Linked DNA regions of Kluyveromyces lactis. The protein of the gene in region 5 interacts with the protein of the main gene of each other region in a pairwise test. Links are inferred from orthologs where the notes say so. Each region holds a gene or a part of one and is shown on either strand. Other genes may lie near its edges.

The links.
Region 1: the proteins of CSL4 (region 5) and RRP42 interact in binary tests that used the Saccharomyces cerevisiae proteins (3 or more experiments, as listed by UniProt). The link is inferred for Kluyveromyces lactis from reciprocal best matches to the Saccharomyces cerevisiae genes CSL4 and RRP42.
Region 2: the proteins of CSL4 (region 5) and SKI6 interact in binary tests that used the Saccharomyces cerevisiae proteins (3 or more experiments, as listed by UniProt). The link is inferred for Kluyveromyces lactis from reciprocal best matches to the Saccharomyces cerevisiae genes CSL4 and SKI6.
Region 3: the proteins of CSL4 (region 5) and RRP4 interact in binary tests that used the Saccharomyces cerevisiae proteins (3 or more experiments, as listed by UniProt). The link is inferred for Kluyveromyces lactis from reciprocal best matches to the Saccharomyces cerevisiae genes CSL4 and RRP4.
Region 4: the proteins of CSL4 (region 5) and RRP45 interact in binary tests that used the Saccharomyces cerevisiae proteins (3 or more experiments, as listed by UniProt). The link is inferred for Kluyveromyces lactis from reciprocal best matches to the Saccharomyces cerevisiae genes CSL4 and RRP45.
Region 6: the proteins of CSL4 (region 5) and RRP46 interact in binary tests that used the Saccharomyces cerevisiae proteins (3 or more experiments, as listed by UniProt). The link is inferred for Kluyveromyces lactis from reciprocal best matches to the Saccharomyces cerevisiae genes CSL4 and RRP46.

What each region holds. Positions count from the first base shown.
Region 1 is NC_006041.1:823,206-826,629, forward strand, and holds RRP42 (exosome non-catalytic core subunit RRP42), read right to left. Parts: upstream 1,934-3,424; coding exon 1,139-1,933; downstream 1-1,138. Other genes in the region: TRM3 (tRNA (guanosine(18)-2'-O)-methyltransferase), read left to right, coding at 1-1,083; RRT6 (Rrt6p), read right to left, coding at 2,328-3,101. UniProt on the Saccharomyces cerevisiae protein: Non-catalytic component of the RNA exosome complex which has 3'->5' exoribonuclease activity and participates in a multitude of cellular RNA processing and degradation events.
Region 2 is NC_006040.1:812,644-816,261, reverse strand, and holds SKI6 (exosome non-catalytic core subunit SKI6), read left to right. Parts: upstream 1-1,751; coding exon 1,752-2,489; downstream 2,490-3,618. Other genes in the region: GPI14 (glycosylphosphatidylinositol-alpha 1,4 mannosyltransferase I), read left to right, coding at 225-1,433; FYV8 (Fyv8p), read right to left, coding at 2,566-3,618. UniProt on the Saccharomyces cerevisiae protein: Non-catalytic component of the RNA exosome complex which has 3'->5' exoribonuclease activity and participates in a multitude of cellular RNA processing and degradation events.
Region 3 is NC_006041.1:1,129,276-1,133,498, reverse strand, and holds RRP4 (exosome non-catalytic core subunit RRP4), read left to right. Parts: upstream 1-1,800; coding exon 1,801-3,114; downstream 3,115-4,223. Other genes in the region: TRM5 (tRNA (guanine) methyltransferase), read right to left, coding at 264-1,772; OMS1 (putative RNA methyltransferase), read right to left, coding at 3,212-4,223. UniProt on the Saccharomyces cerevisiae protein: Non-catalytic component of the RNA exosome complex which has 3'->5' exoribonuclease activity and participates in a multitude of cellular RNA processing and degradation events.
Region 4 is NC_006039.1:952,298-956,107, reverse strand, and holds RRP45 (exosome non-catalytic core subunit RRP45), read right to left. Parts: upstream 2,052-3,810; coding exon 1,134-2,051; downstream 1-1,133. Other genes in the region: KLLA0_C11121g (uncharacterized protein), read left to right, coding at 532-909; RNH202 (Rnh202p), read right to left, coding at 2,393-3,406. UniProt on the Saccharomyces cerevisiae protein: Non-catalytic component of the RNA exosome complex which has 3'->5' exoribonuclease activity and participates in a multitude of cellular RNA processing and degradation events.
Region 5 is NC_006040.1:1,659,366-1,663,175, reverse strand, and holds CSL4 (exosome non-catalytic core subunit CSL4), read left to right. Parts: upstream 1-2,163; coding exon 2,164-3,057; downstream 3,058-3,810. Other genes in the region: BNI4 (Bni4p), read left to right, coding at 1-1,847.
Region 6 is NC_006040.1:1,265,811-1,269,105, reverse strand, and holds RRP46 (exosome non-catalytic core subunit RRP46), read left to right. Parts: upstream 1-1,676; coding exon 1,677-2,354; downstream 2,355-3,295. Other genes in the region: thiamine transporter TPC1, read right to left, coding at 350-1,303; VAS1 (valine--tRNA ligase), read right to left, coding at 2,508-3,295. UniProt on the Saccharomyces cerevisiae protein: Non-catalytic component of the RNA exosome complex which has 3'->5' exoribonuclease activity and participates in a multitude of cellular RNA processing and degradation events.

The DNA.
Region 1 (3,424 bases), on a different chromosome or scaffold from region 5:
GAGGACTTTCTGTTCAAACTTTTAGAAGACACCTCTCGTCCTGTTTTACAAGCAAGTGTTGAACGTTTGTTATTCTTATCTTTGAAGGCAGCGAAGGAGACAGGTCATTTTTTCAGGCCAATGGAAAGATTTGTCGCACAACTGATAACTAATTGCTCCTCAAACAAACCATTAATTAGACATTTCTCTAATTCCCTCATTCTTTTGTTTTGGCCAACCTTTGAAGATGACATCAAAGATAATATTTTGCGATCCATTATTTCTAAGCTATACAGCGATGCTAAGAAGATCCAAGTACAAGGTCAATTCAGAGCCGGTGACGCAAACACTTGGAGCATCAATAACGACCTTAAGTTAACAAGTATATTTGGCGGCGTATTATTGAAAATTATGGATCATAAAGTTCCATATATAAATAGTAAGATATTCAAAGCCATTAACATCGATGACGGTGAATTTGAAATAGGATCGGAAGAGAGTGAACTATGGTTGACCAAAAGAAGTAGTAATCTAGTAAATTCAACTGAGTTAGCAAAAAACTCGCCCCTACAAACGAAGAGTGGTGCTTGGGAAGCTGTCTTGGATTTCGATAATCAAAAATCCATTGAGTCTGTTGCACGATCTGAATTAATTGTCGTAGCTTCATTAGTGGATAAAGCACCCAATCTCGGAGGTATTTGTAGACTCTGTGACGTGTTGGGTGTCGGTACTATGACAATTCATGATATTAGAGTCAAACAGCATCCTCAATTCAAAAATGTTGCGGTTACAGCGGACCGCTGGATGCCTATTGAAGAAGTTCCTGTCGATGGTATAATATCTTACATGAATGCAAAGAAGTTGGAAGGATATACGTTAATTGGATTGGAGCAGACTGATTCTTCCATTCAACTGAATTCTGAATTTAAATTTCCATCAAAATCTGTCATTTTACTAGGAACAGAAGCTCATGGTATTCCAGGGCATTTGTTAAAGGAGTTGGATTTATGCTTAGAAATCAAACAATCTGGGGTAATAAGATCCATGAATATCCAAACTGCAACAGCTGTTATCGTTCATTCGTACTCGATCCAGCATTTATAGATATGCATTTATAATAAACACCCTGAAAAGTACCTATTTACTATTTAAATGTTCCTTAATCTGAAGCATCCAAAGCTTTTTCAATATGTGGTGCGTATTGACGAATTAACTTGAACGCTTGTTCTAAATGATGCTGACTGAACCCTTTGATATTATCGTTATTCAAGCCAACAGATCTTATCGGAGAAGTAACCTTATCTTTGTACCACGTAATTAGAAGGCCATTGTTCGATACTATGCTCTCTTCAAAAGTTGGATCCACAAAAACACCGTCTCCTACAATTGCGAACGTAAACAATAAAGGAGCATCTGCCTCTAGCTTAACCATATCGTAATCATGGAATGTGGGTAGCTCCTCCACTTCTAAGTCATCGTCGTTCGATATTAGTTTCGGTAGCCATGTGTTTTTCAAAGCGCTGAAAATGGCGAAAGATATCATTGAGATCGGGTATGATTTGGAGGCAAGCACCAAAACGTCAATGTAAAGTTTGAAACTGTACCTTTTCGTGAGCATTAGCTTTTTCTGATCAATAGTTTGTTTGAGCAATTTGGATAATAGTGAAGACATGCTGGTAACCAATGGAGAGTCATCTCTGTGGCCTTGGATGTCGACATCAGCAACAAGCAATTCTTGTTCTACCGTATGGTCCACGACTTTAGTTTTTACACTCACTATACACTCGCTTCCTCCGCTTAATATCACACGGCTGGATCCATTAGAATTGGGAAGGAAATCAGTAGATACTTCCAATGGTCTAAATTGATGTGGACCTCTTCCATCCGGTCTTAATGGGGGATCTAATGTTAGAGAATCGTATAGGAACGATTTTTCAGTTAACGAAAGTCCCATTATCTTCTTATATTATTTGATTTTTTTTTTAACGAGATGGGTCTGCTTCGTGAGAAGATAACTCGCTTTAAACTCAGATGTTTCTATTGCTGTTGATAGAAGGGAAATAAGCCTTTTCTCATCATCTCATTGCATCTCATCTCAAGCTCATATAAGTCAATACTGAAATTAGTTCAGATTTTTCATTTCTTCTTTTCGCTAATGCACATTAATATTCGGTGTTACCCGGATATAATTGGCCATTAGTGAGATGTTCTGTCAGGTGTCAGTCACGGTTCGAAGTACTAACATACGATGAATGCTGACTGACTGATATTGAAGTTGTACTGATACAGGGTGCTGATGTTTAATATATATACAAATACATCAACTGTTTTATGGACATAATTATTCCTTATCTTTTGATTTTATTTTTGTTCTTGGTCGGTTGCCCTTTGCTAACGATTCTATACAGTAAGATTGGAAATACCAGCAAATGACATACTCCAATGATGCAGAATAATATTGTGACTTTTGCCAGTAGATAAGAGAACGTTGATTCGTTGAGATTTCTATGATCGACATCTAAAGCATGCAATTCCTGGCCAGAATCCGCACTGACCAACGAAAACAGGTCATCTCTACCCTGGGATAACAAATTGAGATCATCATCAGTAATCAAATCCCACTTCTGTTTCTGAATCAGATCATTAGACGTGATGCTAATTGCTACTTGCTTCACACTATCTATGGCATTCCATGAGGAGTCTAATGAAAAGTTGATAAGGCATATTTGGAAATTCTGATGTTCGTATACGCTCACGTAAAGCACAGTTTCCCCATTCTCTAAACCATGTCTTGACTGTACCAAATTTTGGTCTTCGTCATAAATATCCATGTTGACAACCTGTTTTCCCTTTGAACTCGTAGTTGGACCAAACCTATCCACATTAACTTTCCATTTAGTAAATTCTTCAATTTCAATGAGGAATTGTAAATCCTTGGCCTTAATATTCGTATTCATTTCGAAACAAGTTTGATAACTAGACGCGTCACTCGAGCCGTCAACTTCCCATTTTTTATATGGCCACAAATCGAATTCTAATCGATTTGGGTTTATCGGCAGTTTAAGGGTCTCCGAGACAACTGAACATATCAGTAAAAGGACATATATCAACGATATCACCATTTAAACAAAAAGAACAAAAAAATTACTAGCTGGAACGAAATGAACTGGGTATAATAACAAACGAAAAGACCACAATCTAATTACTGAAGCGAAAGCTGTGGATTAGACCCAAAAAAAAAATTTTGTCTGGCCGAATAAGAACACAAAAAGATATTGACAACACGTATGAAGCACTGAGAAACAACCTTAAAGGGAAAAAAAGAATTGTTTCGATTTGAATTGAACCTGATGCTTTATAGATGGAGACCAATCATTAACCCAGGCAGTTCCCACTTTTCCAACCGAATAATTGCTGTCAAAACGACTCTCTGTATGTTTTTCTC
Region 2 (3,618 bases), about 850 kb from region 5:
TTTAGGTGTTCTCTTCATCGGTTTCCCATCTTACTTATAATCATCTTTGATTCTCCGAGAAACCTTTAAGTGACTTTATATTTAAATTGTACTTTTTCAACATAATGCCATGATTTTGGCATTACATACCAACCTTGGGGAACCACATTTCGAACAATAAAATCATATCTGAAGATCATAACGACTGCTTGCTTGCTTGAAGCCCGCCATTTTACTAACAGGAAATGCATAGAAAAGTAATCTTATTATTAACAGTCTCTTTACTACTTCGAATTGGATTCTTTTCTTACGGTATTTTCCAAGACTCGCATTTTGACGTTAAATATACTGATATCGATTACTTTGTCTTTCATGATGCAGCTGGTTACGTTAACAATGGACAATCCCCTTATTTGCGTGATACATACAGGTACACACCTTTATTGAGCTTCTTGTTACTACCCAATTATTATCTAAAGTGGATTCATATGGGGAAAGTCTTCTTTGTTTTATTTGATCTCATTACAGGTGTGATGATCATAAAACTATTACAAGGTTCATGTCAATTGACAAAACAGCTAATTCTAGCTTCTATTTGGTTATTGAACCCGATTGTTATAACGATAAGTACTCGAGGAAACGCTGAATCGGTTTTATGTTTTTTGATCATATGTGCTTTATACTTTTTGAAAAGAGACAGGTTACTTATTTCAGGACTTTTCTATGGGTTATCGATTCATTTCAAGATCTATCCGATAATCTATGCGCTACCGATCGGAATATATCTCTTGTTGTCGAGTCACAATAGAAACTGCATTTGGCGATTGTTCATGATAGGGATATCGACGCTAATCGGCATAACTGCGCCGACGTATTTCATGTACAAGCTTTACGGGAGCGAATTTATCGAACACTCGTACATGTACCATCTCACGAGAACAGACCACAGACACAATTTTTCGATTTGGAACCTGGTCTTACTCTTAGAATCTGCTGGTATTCATCTTTCCCAATCTATCGAACTATCTAAGCTGGCATTCGTTCCTCAATTGACACTATGTGCAGTACTACCTTATCTATTGTGGAAATCACAGACGTTCGAAAATTTAATGAATGTCCTATTCGTACAAACATACGCATTCGTTACTTTCAATAAAGTATGCACTTCTCAATATTTCATTTGGTATTTGGTATTATCCCCATTTTATTTCGCAAATACAACCATTACATGGAGAAAAGGTGTGGTCTGTATATTTTTATGGATATTGTCTCAAGCCGTATGGCTTTCACAAGCATATCTACTTGAATTCAAAGGCCAAAATGTATTTTTCCCCAACTTATTCTTTGGCAATATAGTGTTTTTCCTCATCAACGTCTATCTACTCGGTGTCTTTATCACTGACATCAAATCCAGAACGTCATTCCAAGACAATCAACATAAGAAGAATATATAATTTTAACTTAGCATATACTGTAGCGTACTGTGACATTTTCAAAGCCACGATCGAAGTCCTGACGAGTATTTTGATGTTCCATTCCGTTCATCCAATTTCATATCCGTTGTCAGATTCACTCGCTGCTGTTTTCTTCATACTGATTATTGAAATAGAATTTGAAAAAAAAAAAGTATTCAAGTTTTGAATCTTACAAGTGAAATATGAGCTCATCGACATCTACTAGAAGAAGTACATTCAAAGCAGAGGCTGTCAGATTGAAATTAGCCCCTCCAGCTAGCGTGTAGGAAAACCCACTTTAACTAACAGAGTAACATAATGTCACGTTTTGAAATATATTCTCCAGAGGGATTGCGTGTCGATGGTCGTCGTTGGAATGAGCTAAGAAGTTTCAACTGTTCCATCAACACTCACCCGAATGCTGCAGATGGATCCTCGTACTTGGAACAAGGTAACAATAAGATTATCACATTAGTTGCTGGTCCTCAAGAACCATCCTCGAGGTCACAAGTCAATACGAAACAAGCTACTTTATCCGTTACTATTAACTTAACGAAGTTTGCCAAGATGGAAAGAAGCAAATCAAGCCATAAGAATGAAAGAAGAACCTTAGAATGGCAAGCTTCGTTAGTGCGTACATTTGAAAAGAACTTGATGCTTCATCTCTATCCTCGTACGTCAATTGACGTTCAAGTTCATGCTCTACAGTTAGATGGTGGGATTCTTGGGGCAATGCTTAATGGAATAACATTGGCTCTGATAGATGCTGGTATCGCAATGTATGATTTTGTAAGCGGGGTTTCAGTGGGACTTTATGATACTACACCACTACTAGACCTTAACTCGCTTGAGGAAAATGCAATGAGCAGTGTTACCATAGGCACAATTGGTAAATCAGAAAAATTATCTTTATTAATGGTGGAAGATAAAGTGCCTTTGGATAGACTTGAGAGTGTCATGGCCATCGGAATAGCAGGCACTCACAGAATTAGAGATTTAATGGATAAGGAGCTTAGAAAGCATGGAAAAACAAGAGTTGAAAACTCTTCGAATTGATTTTTAAACCATTAATTATAAACTTCACATAACATGTAAACATAAATGCATTCTACAATTCGGATCTTGCCTTTAACTACAATTTTTTACCTATAGATGAGAATAACCCCTTAGATTTTTCTCTCATGCTGCTAGAAAACATCTTCTTCTTCAAATGTGTAACATTTTGGTTCACCGTATTTGCGACGCTGTTCTTTTTACTCAAAATATCCGCTTGAGCATAAGCATCTTGAACATGTTTATTGACTTTGTAGTCTTTGAAGATAAAATCCTTATCAGATGTGGTAGAAGACTTCAAAGCATATTGGATCCAGCTCTGGAGTCCGGAGTCATATTCTTTTAATTGTTCCTTGTAATTGTTTAATTTTTTTAGTTTTTGGGAGTGAAGCTCATTACTGCTTAAAAGCTTGACCAAGTCTAGATTCGGGACAGTTGACTGGTGAACCACTGATGGAATTTCATCTCCTTCAGAACTGAATGCTTCTTTTAATTTTGATTCACCTTTTGGAGCTTCACCGTTCACGTGTTTGAATATAGTATCGTTACTAGAAACGTAGTCAGTAGATTCATTGGTAATTTGTATGTTCGTAGGGAGAGCCGGAGCAGATGCATTATTGGCAATCAGAGCAGGAACGTTATATATGGTTTGATTGTCATAAATTGTTTTAGTGTCAGCAATCGTCTTGAGGTCGTCATCATCTGATGCAACGTCATGTGGAAAAGCATTAAATTGACTTTCTCCGTCTGATGCTACCGATGAATTGCGTTGAATATTGGATGTTGTGTTTTTGTTCACTTCAACAATTTCCCCGTCCTCATTTACGGTGTATCCTTCGGGAGGATTGTTGATATCGATGGTCTCAGTAACAAAACCAGATCGGAATGCATCGGTGTCTGGTTTCCACTTGCCTAGATTGATTGACTCCCTGGTTGAGAATGCTAATTTCTGTGGGCCGTCTTCCTCGTCTTCAGAGCTGTCAGAATATCCTCCGACGTCATTTTCAGAATTCTGATCTGGAACGTCCGATTGGGTTATAGAGGATTGACTCAATCGTTTCGTTACGCTCTCCGTTATCGAATTAACATCGCTATCAGCTGTCAGTCCATCTGTATCGTTGTTATTCAATGT
Region 3 (4,223 bases), on a different chromosome or scaffold from region 5:
CCCTGTCTCGTTGCTTTCCCAAGAGAAGGTTAGTCATTCTGAAGGCTGCATCTTTCAATTTCTGTTGCCTCGAGGGCGAGACATGGAAATGACTCACAGATGGCAACATCTGGTCACGTGGACAGAGTAAAGACAAACGGATGATAAAAGAGATGGACTGAGGGACACTGGGCCAGTGACTTGTTTTGGTGACTGTTTTCTGCAATCATGAGAGTCACTGGTATGTTGCATTCTATTTACATTGCAATTATGTATCAAGATAGTTAGATAAAGGCTAGTGACTGTGGTAGTTGGAAACTAACACAGAACATTGGTTTCGTTGGAGCGACTTTTCTCACTAAGTGGAACTGGAACTGGTTGAACGGAAGCTCTTGCTCAGTGGTCTTCATTATTTGTAGTATTTGTTGGTAGACCCTTTCGTGTAGTTGTTCCATGGATGGTTCTGGTTGTTCTTCCGCATCGTATTTATGGAAACAATGACAATGGATCCATGGGGTTTGGAACTGTTCGCCGTGTTCTTGAACCATCTGTTCGTATGTGAACCCGTACCTTGAATATAATCCGACGAATTCATCAAGGAATTGAAGAGCACTGTCAGGTAAGTTCATCACGTAGTGATCGAAGAACTGGTTTTTGATTGGGATCTTGGTTTCAGGAGTACGTTTAGTTTCTCCCGTGACTTTATCCTTGTACTTCTTACCTCCTGGCACCGTGATGACTCCCTGTACCCTTTCGATGAATTGTTGTAGTAGCTTGGGACTATCTCTGATGAATTCGCGGCCATCGAGGTTCAATGGTTCAACGAAGTTACCCACCTTATTGTCGATGATATTTTGCTGCATGTACTTGTAAGATTCTGGGTTCAAATCGTTACTTAGAACGATGACCTTCTTCTTTCCTGCTGGAACTGAGAATGGCCCCACCCCAGCAAACACATCACCAACTATTTGGCCCGGTTTGAATAGACTCACTAACCTTGCATGTTCTGTATGTAGTCTTGAGTTCCAGTACACTTTACTGAAATCGAAAGTGAATGAACAATCAGATTCCCTTTGAGTCACTAGCAGGTTCGGTTCACCCGCTAGGACGTTCATTTCGAAAGTTCTGAATTTGGTAGCAATGGAATCCACTTTATCGACCACGGTCTTGATCGTCGAATTCTTGTCCAAGATGACTTGTCCAATTATTTCACCAAACGGTTTGAACTCTTTCCTTAAATTCAAATGAGCTACGTGTCCCACAATAGTGAACCCAGTAGGAATCTCAGCAAGGTACTCCTCTGGTAAAATTGCATTTAGAATCTCTTCCACTTTCCAGAAGTCATAATCTAGCACATACTCATGGTTTCTCAACTCATACTCTTGCTCATCAAGAAATTCTAGTGCATTGGAGGTCAACTTCCCTCTCGCCTGCGAAACATCTTGTATACTGTCTTTTAGTATGATACCTTTGGTTATATGGTTGTCATTGGCCAGGGATTTGCTTTTCTTCTGTACTGGCTCGACATCGTTCTTATCAGTATCTTCTTTTGGTGTTTCGCCAAGTCTTATAACGAATGGAATTCTTGGTGTCCTTAATATATCGTCCTTGAACTTCTTGGTGAAGACAGAAATATTCTTTGGATTCTTCAATAGCAATACAACAACAGGAAGCTTCTTTACGAATAATGATTTATCTAATTGTTTCATGCCACGATGCACTGGTGGTTCATATTTGAACGTAGTTTCAATAGCTCTACTCATTGTTCTTCGAAGCACTAGGCCAAACCTCATAAAACTAGTCCTCCTCTATCCTTGAAAAATGGAGCAAAATAGTGTGCTATCACTTCACCAAATAAAACGCTGCCTGACGGTCGATCTTTGCTGCAACATTTTTACATCTTTTACAACGCTCATCTCATCTCATCTCATCGCTCTCTTATTTAATTTGGAAAATTTTCAGTTAACTAACACCAAAAGTAACAAAGGTACAGCGAGGAAGTCAGCACATCGAACGCCTTCTGCAGTCCCTGACATCGTTATATCATTACTTGGAACAATGAGTGATGTTATTAGTGTTATCAATAGGAACGAATTTTGGTCTAATGGCCGTTTAGAACAGGATGAATATGAATCAGATTCCAGCTCAGGTTCAGAGCAAGAACATGACATTGAGATGAGCGGTGCTCACGATTCCAATGGTGGAATAGACCATCAGGATGGGTCTATTGTCACACCTGGTGAATTAATAACCGATGATCCTATATGGATGAAGGGTCATGGTACTTATTTCTTGGAAAACAAGACATACAGTTCTGTGGTTGGCACAGTATCGAGAGTGAATAGATTGCTATCCGTTTTACCATTAAAATCTCGTTATATTCCCGAAACAGGTGACCACATCGTGGGTAGAATCACTGATGTTGGTAATAGAAGGTGGAAAGTGGATATTGGAGCCAAACAGTATGCGGTTTTGATGTTGGGTTCTGTTAATTTACCAGGTGGTGTATTGAGACGTAAGTCAGAGACAGATGAGTTGCAAATGAGAAACTTCTTGAAAGAAGGTGATCTACTAAACGCTGAAGTCCAATCGTTGTTCCAAGACGGTTCAGCTTCATTACATACCAGATCGTTGAAATATGGGAAACTAAGGAATGGTACGTTTGTTCAAGTCCCAAGTTCCCTAATAGTGAGATCTAAAAATCATACACATAATCTTCCAGGGAATGTCACCATTATCTTGGGTGTAAATGGGTTCGTATGGATAAGGAAATCCTCCAAGATGGATCTTTCCGGTAAGACCACTACTACAGGTTCAGGACAATCTGACCATTTACCAGGATCCAACAATGCAATGTCGGTTTCCATTACAAGATTGGAAGAAGAGAGTTCTTGGGAAATATATTCGGATAAAAATGATACTGTTACTGTAAGCGTTAGGCAAACAATCACAAGATATGCAAACGTAATTAAGGCGTTAGCACATTGCGAACTCGGTATCACTGAGCCAAGAATAATATCCGCATATGAGGCTTCAATGGCTTATGGTAACTTGGGACAGTTAATTGAATCGGAGACGATGGAGTCCTTAGGTCAAGACGTCATCAACTCAGAGAAGATGAGGGGAGCAGCATAGGTTGTAATCGGTAATATTAATATTTACATGAAGTAGTATTTTATAAATAAAGTGCATAATATTTACAAATAATAAAATCTTTTCGATAAGAGTACCATCATTTGGATGTCTCAGATGTTGGTTTATTATGGGTAGCTTGTAGCGAGTCTTGCTTCTTTCCATCGTTTGTGAAAGATTCAATTCTGCTCTTAACACTAGCACCAAGATACTTTTCAAAGAAGCCAATTTCTTCTTTCTTCTTACCGTCACCTTTACGCTTGGCAACAATACACCATGTCGTACCGAAATGTGTTCTTCTTTCTTCGACGACATCCAATCCAGAATCGTCAAGGATTTCTCCGATATCCAAGTTCCATCTACAACCCCATGTCTTTAAACGTTTCTCAGCTCTATCGTCAAGAATTTTGTTGATTGTATCGTATGAACCTCTTCCGTGTTCCAAGAGAATGATTCTACCGCCAGGTTTCAACAATTCAGCAAAATTCTTCAAAGATTTTACAGGATCGTGATGTGAACAAAGACCAAACGCTTCAACAATAGTATCATACTTAACAGGTGTCTCCTTCGAGTTCAAGTCGATCAAATCTTCCGCTTTCCCTACAACAAATGCACATTTCTTGAAATTGGGTAGTGCTTCTCTGAATTTTTTATTTGTGATTTCCATCATCTTTTCCGATGCATCCAAGAATGTGATTGAGTTGATCTTCGTTGGGTCTAAATATTTGATATTCCTACCAGTACCACAAGCGACTTCGAGAACATCTCCTTTACAATGTTTCATGAGCCACTTACGTCTTTTACCCATTCTGATCATCATTTCTTCAAAACTCACACCCTCATCGTACTCTTCTGCCTTCATTTCATAGAAATCAGTGGTATCCCTAGCAGGTAGAATTTTCTCGTTAATCTTGTTTTGATCGTTGTTTTCCAAGGTAATCTTATCCAAATTCTCAGTCCCATCTTTCTCTATAATCTTTTGGTATTGTTTCAATTTCTCCACATCTCTTGTTCTTAACGTATTTTTTAGTTCCTTATAGCGCAACAACTCATATTCATTTGCTACTCCCATATCAATCTTTGCACTAATATCTTCTAACTCCTTGTCCTTC
Region 4 (3,810 bases), on a different chromosome or scaffold from region 5:
GGAACGGCGGGGAAACTTCCCTGCCAATTAGCTAAGGCTCAAGCTCATCATCCATTTAATGGTTATTCCCCCAATTTTAGCAGATAGACGTCTCTTCCATATTTTGGGTTTTGTTAGTGCAGAGATATCAAATTTAGTAGCCTTGAAAAGTCCCTCTGACTTGACAAGACATGACATCCCTAACAGGTTTGGCCAGAGACTACTTTTCAATATATACTAGGTTATGATCGAATTGATAGGTATTCGCAACTTGCCCCTATTCATTGCAGTAAAAGTCATACATCAGTCCGTTTCAACTTGTTTTCTCGTTTCTTTAAGAACAATATATTCTATATCACCGACCTCTGTCATGTGTCACAATAAATCGATAAATTATTAAATTCAGGTAAGTAGAACCCGATGTGAAAAGTACATACCAACTAATACCAGATTGTATTAACTCTTCCTGATCACTGGAGTTGAATTTCCAAACACTCAAGGCTTTATTCGAATTGATGGATTTTGGGACATATTTGTGGTGAATTGATTATAATGTCACATTTATGGGATCAACGGAATAATCCAATATTGTACATATGCGGCTACTACATTCTATTTGTTGTTGTTAGTATCGTGCTATTATTCATAATATACTGTACAGTAACATACTGGGCTAATTCGAAGAACATTTTGGCGGCAGAAGAGCGGTACTTGAATTCTGCACCAGAGACACAAATTTCTATTGACAAACACATGATGATGTTGGATGAACGAGATTTGTATCCCGAACTTAATTCACGAAACGGATTCGAATTTGAAAAGAACGACTTGAACAGATATCCAAATTTAATACATATTGTAAAGTTTAACGCTCGGGAAGAATCAGTGACTTCCTCAACAGAAAGAGACATGACCAGACTTTATATTTGATTCACTATCGCTAAGATATTCACAGCATACACTCTCATATATCCACCAAACAGATACATTATTTGTATATTCATACATACAACATATAGTACAGAACAATATCAAACGCGCTGAACGGCATGGATTAAACGACTTCTAGCTGCCAAGTGTCTTGGGATATGGTACAACCATAAGCATTAATCTATAATTGAAGAAAAGCTTCCAGTTCTTCGATACAATGCTCCTTAAGTTTCACGAGCATTTTCAGAGCTCAAAATGTGTGCGTATTGGTTTCTTGCAATGGTATCTTGTTTCACAACACGATGAATTTGATCAGTGATTTTTTCTACAATTCCGTATGCTTTATGACAACAATCAATCAACGACAAAGCTTCCATCGGCAAACCACCTGCTTTGGAGATTTGAACAACTTCTCTGTTTTTATTAAGCGTCACAGTAAGCACACCATCTCTCAATAGCTCCTCTTTTAAGGAAGCATCGATGATTGATATTTCTGCATTGTCCTCACCTTTGATATTTTCTTCTGTATCGTCTGGATTGAAGAATGAAAACGTCACACAAATTGGAACATGCAAAACACCTAGTGACACAGGTTCTCTTTCATCAATCGGATGTACCGTCACTCTTTCACCAAGAACAGTAACGTCGGGCTTCTTAAAATGAAGTAACCCAGCCATTACAGCAATGCAACTGGCATCGATTAGTCCACCATCACAATCTAAAAAGTGAACATCAGCTCTAAGAGACCAACATTTGGAGCCAGCTATTATGCATAAACCTTCTACATCTAATGCTCCTGATCGTCTTACAGCTTTCTCAATCATCCTACTGATCAATACCTCTTCTTCTCCAGTATTGTTCCCATTCTCAAACTGAGCACCTGCCATCGGTGTAGTTTCGGTACTTATATGGAAAAGTCCTTCAAACGGTCTATCTTCATAAGGTTGTGCAATTTCACAGCTGATACGACAGTGTACCTTTGTGTTACCCATGGTAACAGTCACATCACCGTATGCTTCACCTATTTCGATCTTCACATCTCTGAATTGGTCATATGAACGTCCATCTAATCTTTGTTTAAGCTTTAACGCTTCCAGGATAAATTTGGATTCAGCATTACTGATCTCTATATCTTTTGCCATCACCTCTTATCGATTTAACTATTTTGATATGCGAATGCAAGCTCTCTTCGGCTATGGTTTTCTCTTTCAGTGCTGCTCATCGCAACTCTTTAACTTTTCAAGTGTTATAGTTCTAAATCTTTCATAAGCTTTGTCTCATTTGATATGATAGAAAGATGAAAAAGGAATAAAAACAAAATTGATGCGAGTTTCTCTAGGAGGAAGACCCTGTAGACAGGTATTAAGTGGAAGAAGATCAATTATTTTAGAGCTCAACAACGGCATGTTATGTGAAGCTTTAGGTCAAAATGATAGAGGTTATCCAATACTGATATTTCTACGAAATTATTATATGCCCTTACTTATGTTTTGTTAGTTTTGAAGAATCCGTCAATTCTTCCTTTACCCTTAGCAACCTTTGGTTTCACAACTTTAGCCTTTTGAATAGGTTGTTTCTTTACGGTTTTTGTGCCATTTGGAATGGCTGTAGACATAGCAGCTTTGATAAGGAGCTCTCTTTCCCTTTCTGTTTGTAATGTTTCGTTCTTGTACTTGTCGTATGAGTCGAAACATTGTTTGATGTTAAGATTTGAAGATTCATGTCTAATTAGATCCTGGTATGCGAGTTGTGGGATCAAGGAAACTAGAAGATTACACGACATTATGCATTTCAGAGATGATGCTATATCTTCAGGTAGCGATTTTGGTATTTTAAGAGAAGTAGGGAAGTTGTTGTTGATTTTGATGACTTTCTTCAGTAGCCATTCTACTATCATTTGAGGTTCGATACGATAATACTTGTCACCAGCTTCTTCCACTGTATGTGATATTTTCCCGAGACAACTTTCCCATAATTTTGGAGGTATCTTCTCCCAATTTTCACTGTGATTATTCGTTAATTTCTCTTGGTAATCAGAACTAGTATAAAAGTTAGTATCCATATCGAGTGCGGGTGGAACGCAAGGTGTAATAAACGCTAGATCCTCACTAGTAACTTTGTTGTTCCTATAATAATACCCACATATATTAAAAGTTAAGTCATATTTTTCGGCATATAGTATCGAACCATCTTCTAGTATGTGTCCATCTTTCCTGTTCTCTTCATTGATCAAAAATGTGGATTTAAATGTTTGCGAATCTGAAGTATAATGATATTTATCATTCACTAAATCTCGCGAGCAATTATAGTCACAGCCTTTACTGAACTTTTTGATTTTAAGCTGGTATACTTTATCGTCGTGTACAAACAGTTTGATAGGTTTCTTTGATTCGTTATTCGATGGATGTGGAAGTTCAAATATTTCGACAGGAGAATCCACTGAATTTGGCAAAGCTACCAATAGACATCCTTTCCTTATTACCTTCTCAACAGTCATATTCACTAAGGAAATGTAGCTGGGGATTGTTGTTTGATCGTTAATTAGGATAGTTAACAATGCTTTTTACGCGTTTCGTTCACGTTAAATGTTGTAAATGTCAGTGGAATATACCAAGTATTGGATGAATGTACGCAATTGTGTGCTGCGGCTGTCGTTCTGAATCTATTGCACACTTAATACAGCGAACAGCTACAAAAAGGAAGGGGCATGTAATTTGCTTTGTTATGAGATTTCACTTTTGTTTAACTGACAATTCTTCCTCGTTTATGGATCTGAAATATTATATATATATATATACACTGATTCATATCGGAACTTGAAATTACTGAAGAAGTTTACGCAAAGTAAAATGCACGGCGCGTAATTACATAAAATAACAGCTGTTGGTAAACTCACTCCCA
Region 5 (3,810 bases):
TCAAGTCAGCAAATGAATGTGCCGACGAAGACCCACACACGTTAATACTAGAACAAAAACCAAATATTGATGAACCTCTCACGCCAACAGTTTCATTAATGCAGGAAACTGTTTCATTAGAAATCCAGAAGAATACGCCAGTACTACAAAGATTGGATTCTAACGTAAAGGGTGGACAAGATATTGATACAAGCAAATCAAAACGAAGAAGAAGCCTGCTCAATTTTTGGAGGAAGCCAAAGCAGTCTACGGAGAAACAAATGTCAACATCGAAGAGTTTTAGTTTGGCGTCAAAAAAAGGCCAATCTAATGAAGACTTGAAAGGGCCTGGCACTAAGAGGTCACTTAGTAGCAGCAGTATCTTCACCACCTTTAGGAAGAATAAGAACAATGACAGCAATGCTGTTAAAAAGAGTGATAATGTGGTCGTGGAACGACATACAGAATCCCAGATCCTTCCAAAGAACAATACACGACCACAGAAGGTCTTCCAAAAGCGTAAGCCAACGCCCCTAAATTTTGTGAAAGATGTGCCTGAATTAACTACAGAGGATAAATTCCCAAGAGATGTTTTTCCAAAGTCACTCGACGTATCAGAGGTTGAGTCAATTGTCTCTCTTGAAAGGTCCAGATCTATGAAATCAAATCAACGAAACTCAATGTCTTCTCTACGTACCAGATCATTGAGTGATCACATTTCACTCAATGCCAAAATGGAAGGAATGTTCATTACCGAAGCTACAAGAACATCTTTCGCAACCCCGGATTTAACGAAATCTCCGGTGAGCAGTATTCTGCGCAGCGGAAAGTTTGAAACTACGTCTGATGAAAAAATATCCGCCAGTTCTGATTTGGACAATAGTCATGGTACTCGAAGTGCAAGTTTCACAATTTCACCACAACAGAGAGATTTTTCTTTTGGTTCCATAGAGCAAAAGTTAAACGAGCTGACAATGGAATCTGATCAAGAAGATCAACTAGAAAAACCATTGGTGCAGAATAAGGCAACTAAATCTAGTCTTGAAGATTCAGATAATGAAGACAACGAATTAATCTCAGATATCATGGAATTTGCAAGTATAATAGACTTTGGACAAGATATCGAGTTAAATTTTGATCTCTATTCTGACAATCGTTCACACTATGAAACTCTAAATCCGGTCAAAGAATCTGTGAAAAACTCTCTATCCAAGCCCAGCTTCAATACTGAGACAGAAAACTCATTTCTTGTGGAACTTACTAACTCCCCAGAAATTAAGACAAACAGTTCAGTACTCAACCAAAAACAGACTGGTTTGGATGATCAGAAACACATATCAAGTACTATAAAAACAAGAGACACATCACCAGAAAATGTTAGCAGTAGCAACCAAAACACTTTTTCTGATAGCAGTTTATATTTTGATAATTATGATGAGGAAGATTTTGAGAACGAAGATTTTAATGGCATACATGCAGTAAAAGAATCCCCAAAGATCAACGCATTTTTACCAGATATCACAACATCGATGAGCAGGCCTATATCGATGTCTTTTAGGGGTTTGAAAGCGCCACAATTCAACAGTACCATGGAACTTTCAGGGCTTACGGGACTTGAACATATCTCAGATCAGATGTCGAAGAAATCGGAAGAAAGATCTAGCTATGCAGCAAAACTTGTTAAGTTTTCCTCTCAAATAGTCCTTTATGAGACCTATGGTGAACTTGAGTATGATAGGCATCCTGATTCGGCAACATGCAATCAACTTACTCCTCAATTGGCCCAAATGATAAAGGACGAGCTGAATGAGCTTAAAGCAGAAATGGACATTCACGAAGATTCTATGTGCAACACTCACTTCTTTTAGTAGACCTATAAATACATGTAATCATAGTAGTTAAATCATTTACCATGCGTTTCTATGTTTCCCTTTATATGGATTCAAATCGTGCACGTAGCTTTCGTGTTGAGCCCGCTTTGAAAGCTTTGGTAATATTACCCTACTATTTGAAAATAATTCTAACTTGTCTTCAACATCTCCCAAATTTTGAAAATTGTTTCACTCATTATGAAAATGATAAAAAAAGAGCTGCTTTATGCGATGAGCTAACAGTAATACCAAACTAGCTTAAATATGGCCTGTAAGATAATAAGAGTGTTTGATAACAGTAAGGTTTGTCTATATGCATCGTTATAAAATGAAGCCTTTTAAAAATTTCCCCCAGACTGTTATACCCGGTGATCTTATATGTCCAATATTTGATGTTGATGATGATAACAAGCAAGAAGTGGTAATACGCTTCCTAACGGGCACTGGCTGTAAACAGGAGAATTTTAGAGTTAACGGCAAGAACGTTGATATTATCGTAGCCACATTAAAAGGTTCTGTATCTGTGGAAGAAGTTCCAGCAGATATTATCGAAGACGACGATCAAGAAGACTCAGAGAATACGACGTTTGTAGAATCTCATGAGACCACCGGAGGGGATGCAAGCTCTGGCAATAGTAGAGTTATAAAAAGTTTCAAAGTATCAGTATCAAATCCTAGCAAGTTTGCTAGCAAGTATGTTGATGACCAGTTTGTCAATAACCTTCCGCAAGAGGGCGATATCGTACTGGCGAGGGTGACCAGAATCAGTTTGCAAAGAATAACAGTTGAGATTTTAGCAGTTGAGAATTCGCCCTTGCCGATCGACTCTGGTGTCGGAAGCAATGGGACTGGCATAATTGCTGCTGCTGGTGGATCTGGTGCGTCTACGTTTTCCGTTTCGCAAGTGTCCGCGGATTTGGGAGAAACTTTTAGGGGCATAATTAGATCCCAAGATGTAAGGGCCACTGATAGAGATAGAGTAAAAGTTATGGAAAGTTTTAAACCTGGGGATATAATACGTGCTCAAGTGCTCTCACTTGGCGATGGTACCCATTACTATTTAACTACAGCAAGGAATGACTTGGGCGTGGTGTTCGCTAAGTCTTCTAACGGAGCTGGAGAACAGATGTATGCAATTGATTGGCAGACAATGATTTCACCAAAGACCGGAGTCGCTGAGAAACGAAAATGTGCAAAGCCCTTCTAATATAGTCGGAACACAACAAGCTTTTTGTTCAAGTCTATAGGTACCTTCACATACATACATTTACAACTTTCATTTACATTTACATTAGTTTCGTATTAGGCTTCACGCATATTGGGAATATTGAGGAAGTTTCTACTAAGATCATTGTGAATTCAACGCCTGAATATCATATGTTATTATCAGAAAAGTTAGTTGGACTTTTAGTTGATTGGGAATTTCAACTCATCGTGGTCACCTCTTAAATCATATTCACTCAGTCCAACTTTTTTTCCGAACTTCTCAAATCTTTGTAGATAATGCTTTCTCTTCTTCTCTGCAATTTGAGTTAGGACAGGCCAATAGGCTTCATGATTATATTTGAAGTCGAGGTTACCACCATAAAGCGTCTCGAGTTGATCAGGTGGCACATAATTTGGAAATGGTTCATCAAAAACCAATTTTTCACGAGTCAACGGATCAATAAAAGGATGGATGAGCTTCAAAAAGGTCCACGCAAGCCACGGGATATTAGTTAATAATGCTTTCCCTAATCTTTCTGGATAATGTGTTTGTAAAATGTGTAAAACCTCTTTACCGGTCCCTAAAGGAGGAATCTTTGAGTTACCTTGAACCTTTGGAACATCAGGATAATCTTTGAAATCTATCAACAAAGCCAATGAATCTTGCCCAGGAGGCATGAAATCAATAACACGTTCAAGCATATATACAAGGTGCTGGACTTGTCTATGGGAGGTTGCTGTGTTTTGCCTACCA
Region 6 (3,295 bases), about 390 kb from region 5:
TTATTCTTGTTAACTCGTCGAGGCTCTTAATTTAAGTAGTTTCCAGAAACAATCTGCACAACTTCGCAATAGTAACACCAAAAATAAGAATTACCACTTGTACTTAGATCCTACGCGTCAATTGCAGCTAGAAGTGGCGCCGTACCGACTGGTTTTGTCGTCTCTTTTTCTCTTTTGCATCAGCCATCGGTAAGTTGCTTTGATTCGTTTGGAAGTTATCATTAAATGATTCTGATATTGATCACGTGACTTATACACAGTAGGATATTCCTCTACATCAACTATATACTGGAGGTAAACACGCTCTCTGTAACATCCTCCGTTGGTATGAGATATATCCACAGTTGTCCTATGGAGATCTCCCCCAGCGCTGTCCGTGATCAAAGAGATCCATTGTGCGTTCATACACGAAAAGACTGATTGCTGTCGTTGGAACAGATTTACATAGTCCCATTGTAAGTCCTCGGTACAACGCTGATACACCCTCCTGTCTTAGTATCTTGTAAATAATTGCAGTGGATGATTTATACCTGTACTCGTGGTAAACAGCAGGGAATTTGGTGAAATGAACTGTTCTCTTAGAGTTCATCACTTGCATTCTGCGACGTAAAGTGTCAATGGGGAACACCATCGTCTTGGATACAAACCCTGCGATGATCCCTGAACTAGCACTTACAGGTCGCGACCAGAATTCTTTCTCGTGGTTTTCACAGACTATATTCACGGTCTCATATGTGAGAAACATGATAGCCGTGGATAAAGTAACCGTTGTCATCGCAGTGGATATTCCAGTGAAAAAACCTCGTACACCTTCATTGAGCCACATTTGTCGGCACTCCTCTGCGACACTGGTCCGATGGCTCGTTCTGTTTGCTATAAGTCTTGTCCGAAGCAAATCTAGCGGGTAAGATACCACTGAACTAGTCATTCCTGCCAACGCTCCGACCGTTAGCGTTTGTCCCTGCTGTGAAAACCGAGGGAACTTCGCAGACCAAACGTTGTTGAACCACGAGTAAGATCCGAATTGTACTGCACCGTAAACAACGTACATCGCCGTCGCCGGGATGTTTCCTTTCCATAACGCTCGAAGTCCTTCTTCTTTCATTATAGTTCTCACAGTAGATGCAATTCCCTTATATTTGTCCTCTTGTACCGGTTGTAACTGATATCGTATTTTTACAGTATCCATTGGTGCAGTTGCCATCCTAGCAAATACCCCAGAAACAGAACCAGCAATCACTGAATTGTACCATGATACCGTTTCACCTTTCCTGAGATGGTCTTTCCTTATGCCAGTGTTCATTCTCTCTTCGTCATTAAATAAATCCCTCTCTCTTGATGGATTGAAGATTCACTGAATGCTGGTCTCTCGCTCCCTTCTCAGAACTTAAATGAAGCCAGACCTACACACAATCTCCTTATTTATAAATTACCACATACATGCCCTGCTAAAAGGGTCTCTGGCACATCAATTGCATTGCATCTCCAACCTCTTAGTTTCATATCTATTCATTGCGTATCCTAAAAGTGAAAAATTTCTGAATTTGAAGCTCATCTCATCTCATCCTGACATAACATTCAAAAGATGGGGAAAGAGGGACTGTAGTGGCTCATTACCGTCTATACCGACTGCGTATTGATTGTTATATTGTACCTATAGTAATTTTCTAGCCAAGATGGAGACTACGACGCATGTTTTGGGCCATGTTGATGGCTCTTCTGTTGTTTCAAACAGCGGAACTAAAGTTATCTGTTCTGTTTCGGGACCCATGGAACCTAAGTCTAGGCAAGAGTTGCCCACACAACTTGCATTAGAGATCATCGTGAAGCCTGCTGAAGGCGTACAGAGTACGAGGGAAAAGTTAATGGAAGATCAGATCCGTTCTGTGTTGACCCCAGTGCTTGCGAGATACTTGCATCCACGTCAATTTGTGCAGATATGTCTCCAAGTATTAGAAGCGGGAGAAAGCAGGGATTATACTGTGAAAGAAGTCAGTGTATGTGTTAACGCAGCGGTGCTCGCATTGGTGGATGCTGGTGTACCGTTACTCAGTATGTGTTCTGGTACTTGTATTGGTATTACCACTGAAGGGAAGCAGCTGGTGGTGAACCCAACAGAATCGCAGCTAGCTAAATGTGAATCGGTCCACGTATACTGTCTAGAGCTGGGCACGAATGAGAACGGGGATATAGATGTCAGGAACCTGCTTCTTCTTGATAGTTTAGGCAGCTTTGACGAGTCACAGTTGTTTAAAGTGTTAGAAACAGGTGAGAAAGAGTGTATACGGTTATACACAGAGTTGAGATCAGTGATCAAGGATAAAGTCGCCAAAGATTTCGTCTGGAGACAGTAGTGGGTATACCTGCACCCATGGTTCTTTATAAATTAACTTTATAATTAACGTTATCATCTTTATATACAATTTATATATATTTGCATTTATATAATTCGCATTAGCAGCGGCAGAGAGAGTAATCTAATCTATTGGACAAATAACAAAACAATTCTACAACTTCAATGCTTCCAAGTTAGCGATGGTAGCTTCCAAGGTTTCGATTTCAGCGGCAGCGTGCTCTGATCTTTCTTTGTTGAATTGCTTCACTTGGTCATTGGCCTTTTGTTCATAATCGCTGCTGTTGACAATCTTATCAATGGCAGATTTAGACTTCAAAGTCTTGTCTAGCTTCTTTTGGACCTTGGAGATTTCTGCATCGATATCGACGTGACCCTTCACAAGCACATGCACGTTAACTTCTGGGTTGACAGATTGTAGCACACAACCTTGTGGGATATCAGCAGCAGATTTCACAACGGAAACTTCATCGATTGCCTTAATCAAAGAGACGATAGAATCTTTTTGAGATTGGACAGTGGAGTAGTATGATTCATTAGCAGATTCAACAAACACCTTACCGTTTTTCAAGATGTTATATTGTGCCAACAAGGAACGAGCATCCTTTGTGACGTTTAAGATTAGCTCGTATTCCTTAGCAGCGCTTGGATTGTGGAATTCTTCCTTGAAAGTTGGGTATGAGCTCTTAACGATAGTTGGAGAAGTTTCGCTGGCGTATCTTGGTAGATGTTGCCACATTTCTTCAGAGATGAAAGGCATGAATGGATGGATCATTTTCAATGCATTGTCGATCAAGATATATAAGGTATCCTTAGCAGACTTTTGTTGAACTTCTGTACCTTCTTGAATCAAGTACTTGGAGTTCTCAATGTAAACATCACAGACCAAATACCAGAATTCATAGATGGCTGAGGTGGAGTTCAAGAAGTCACGCTTTTCAA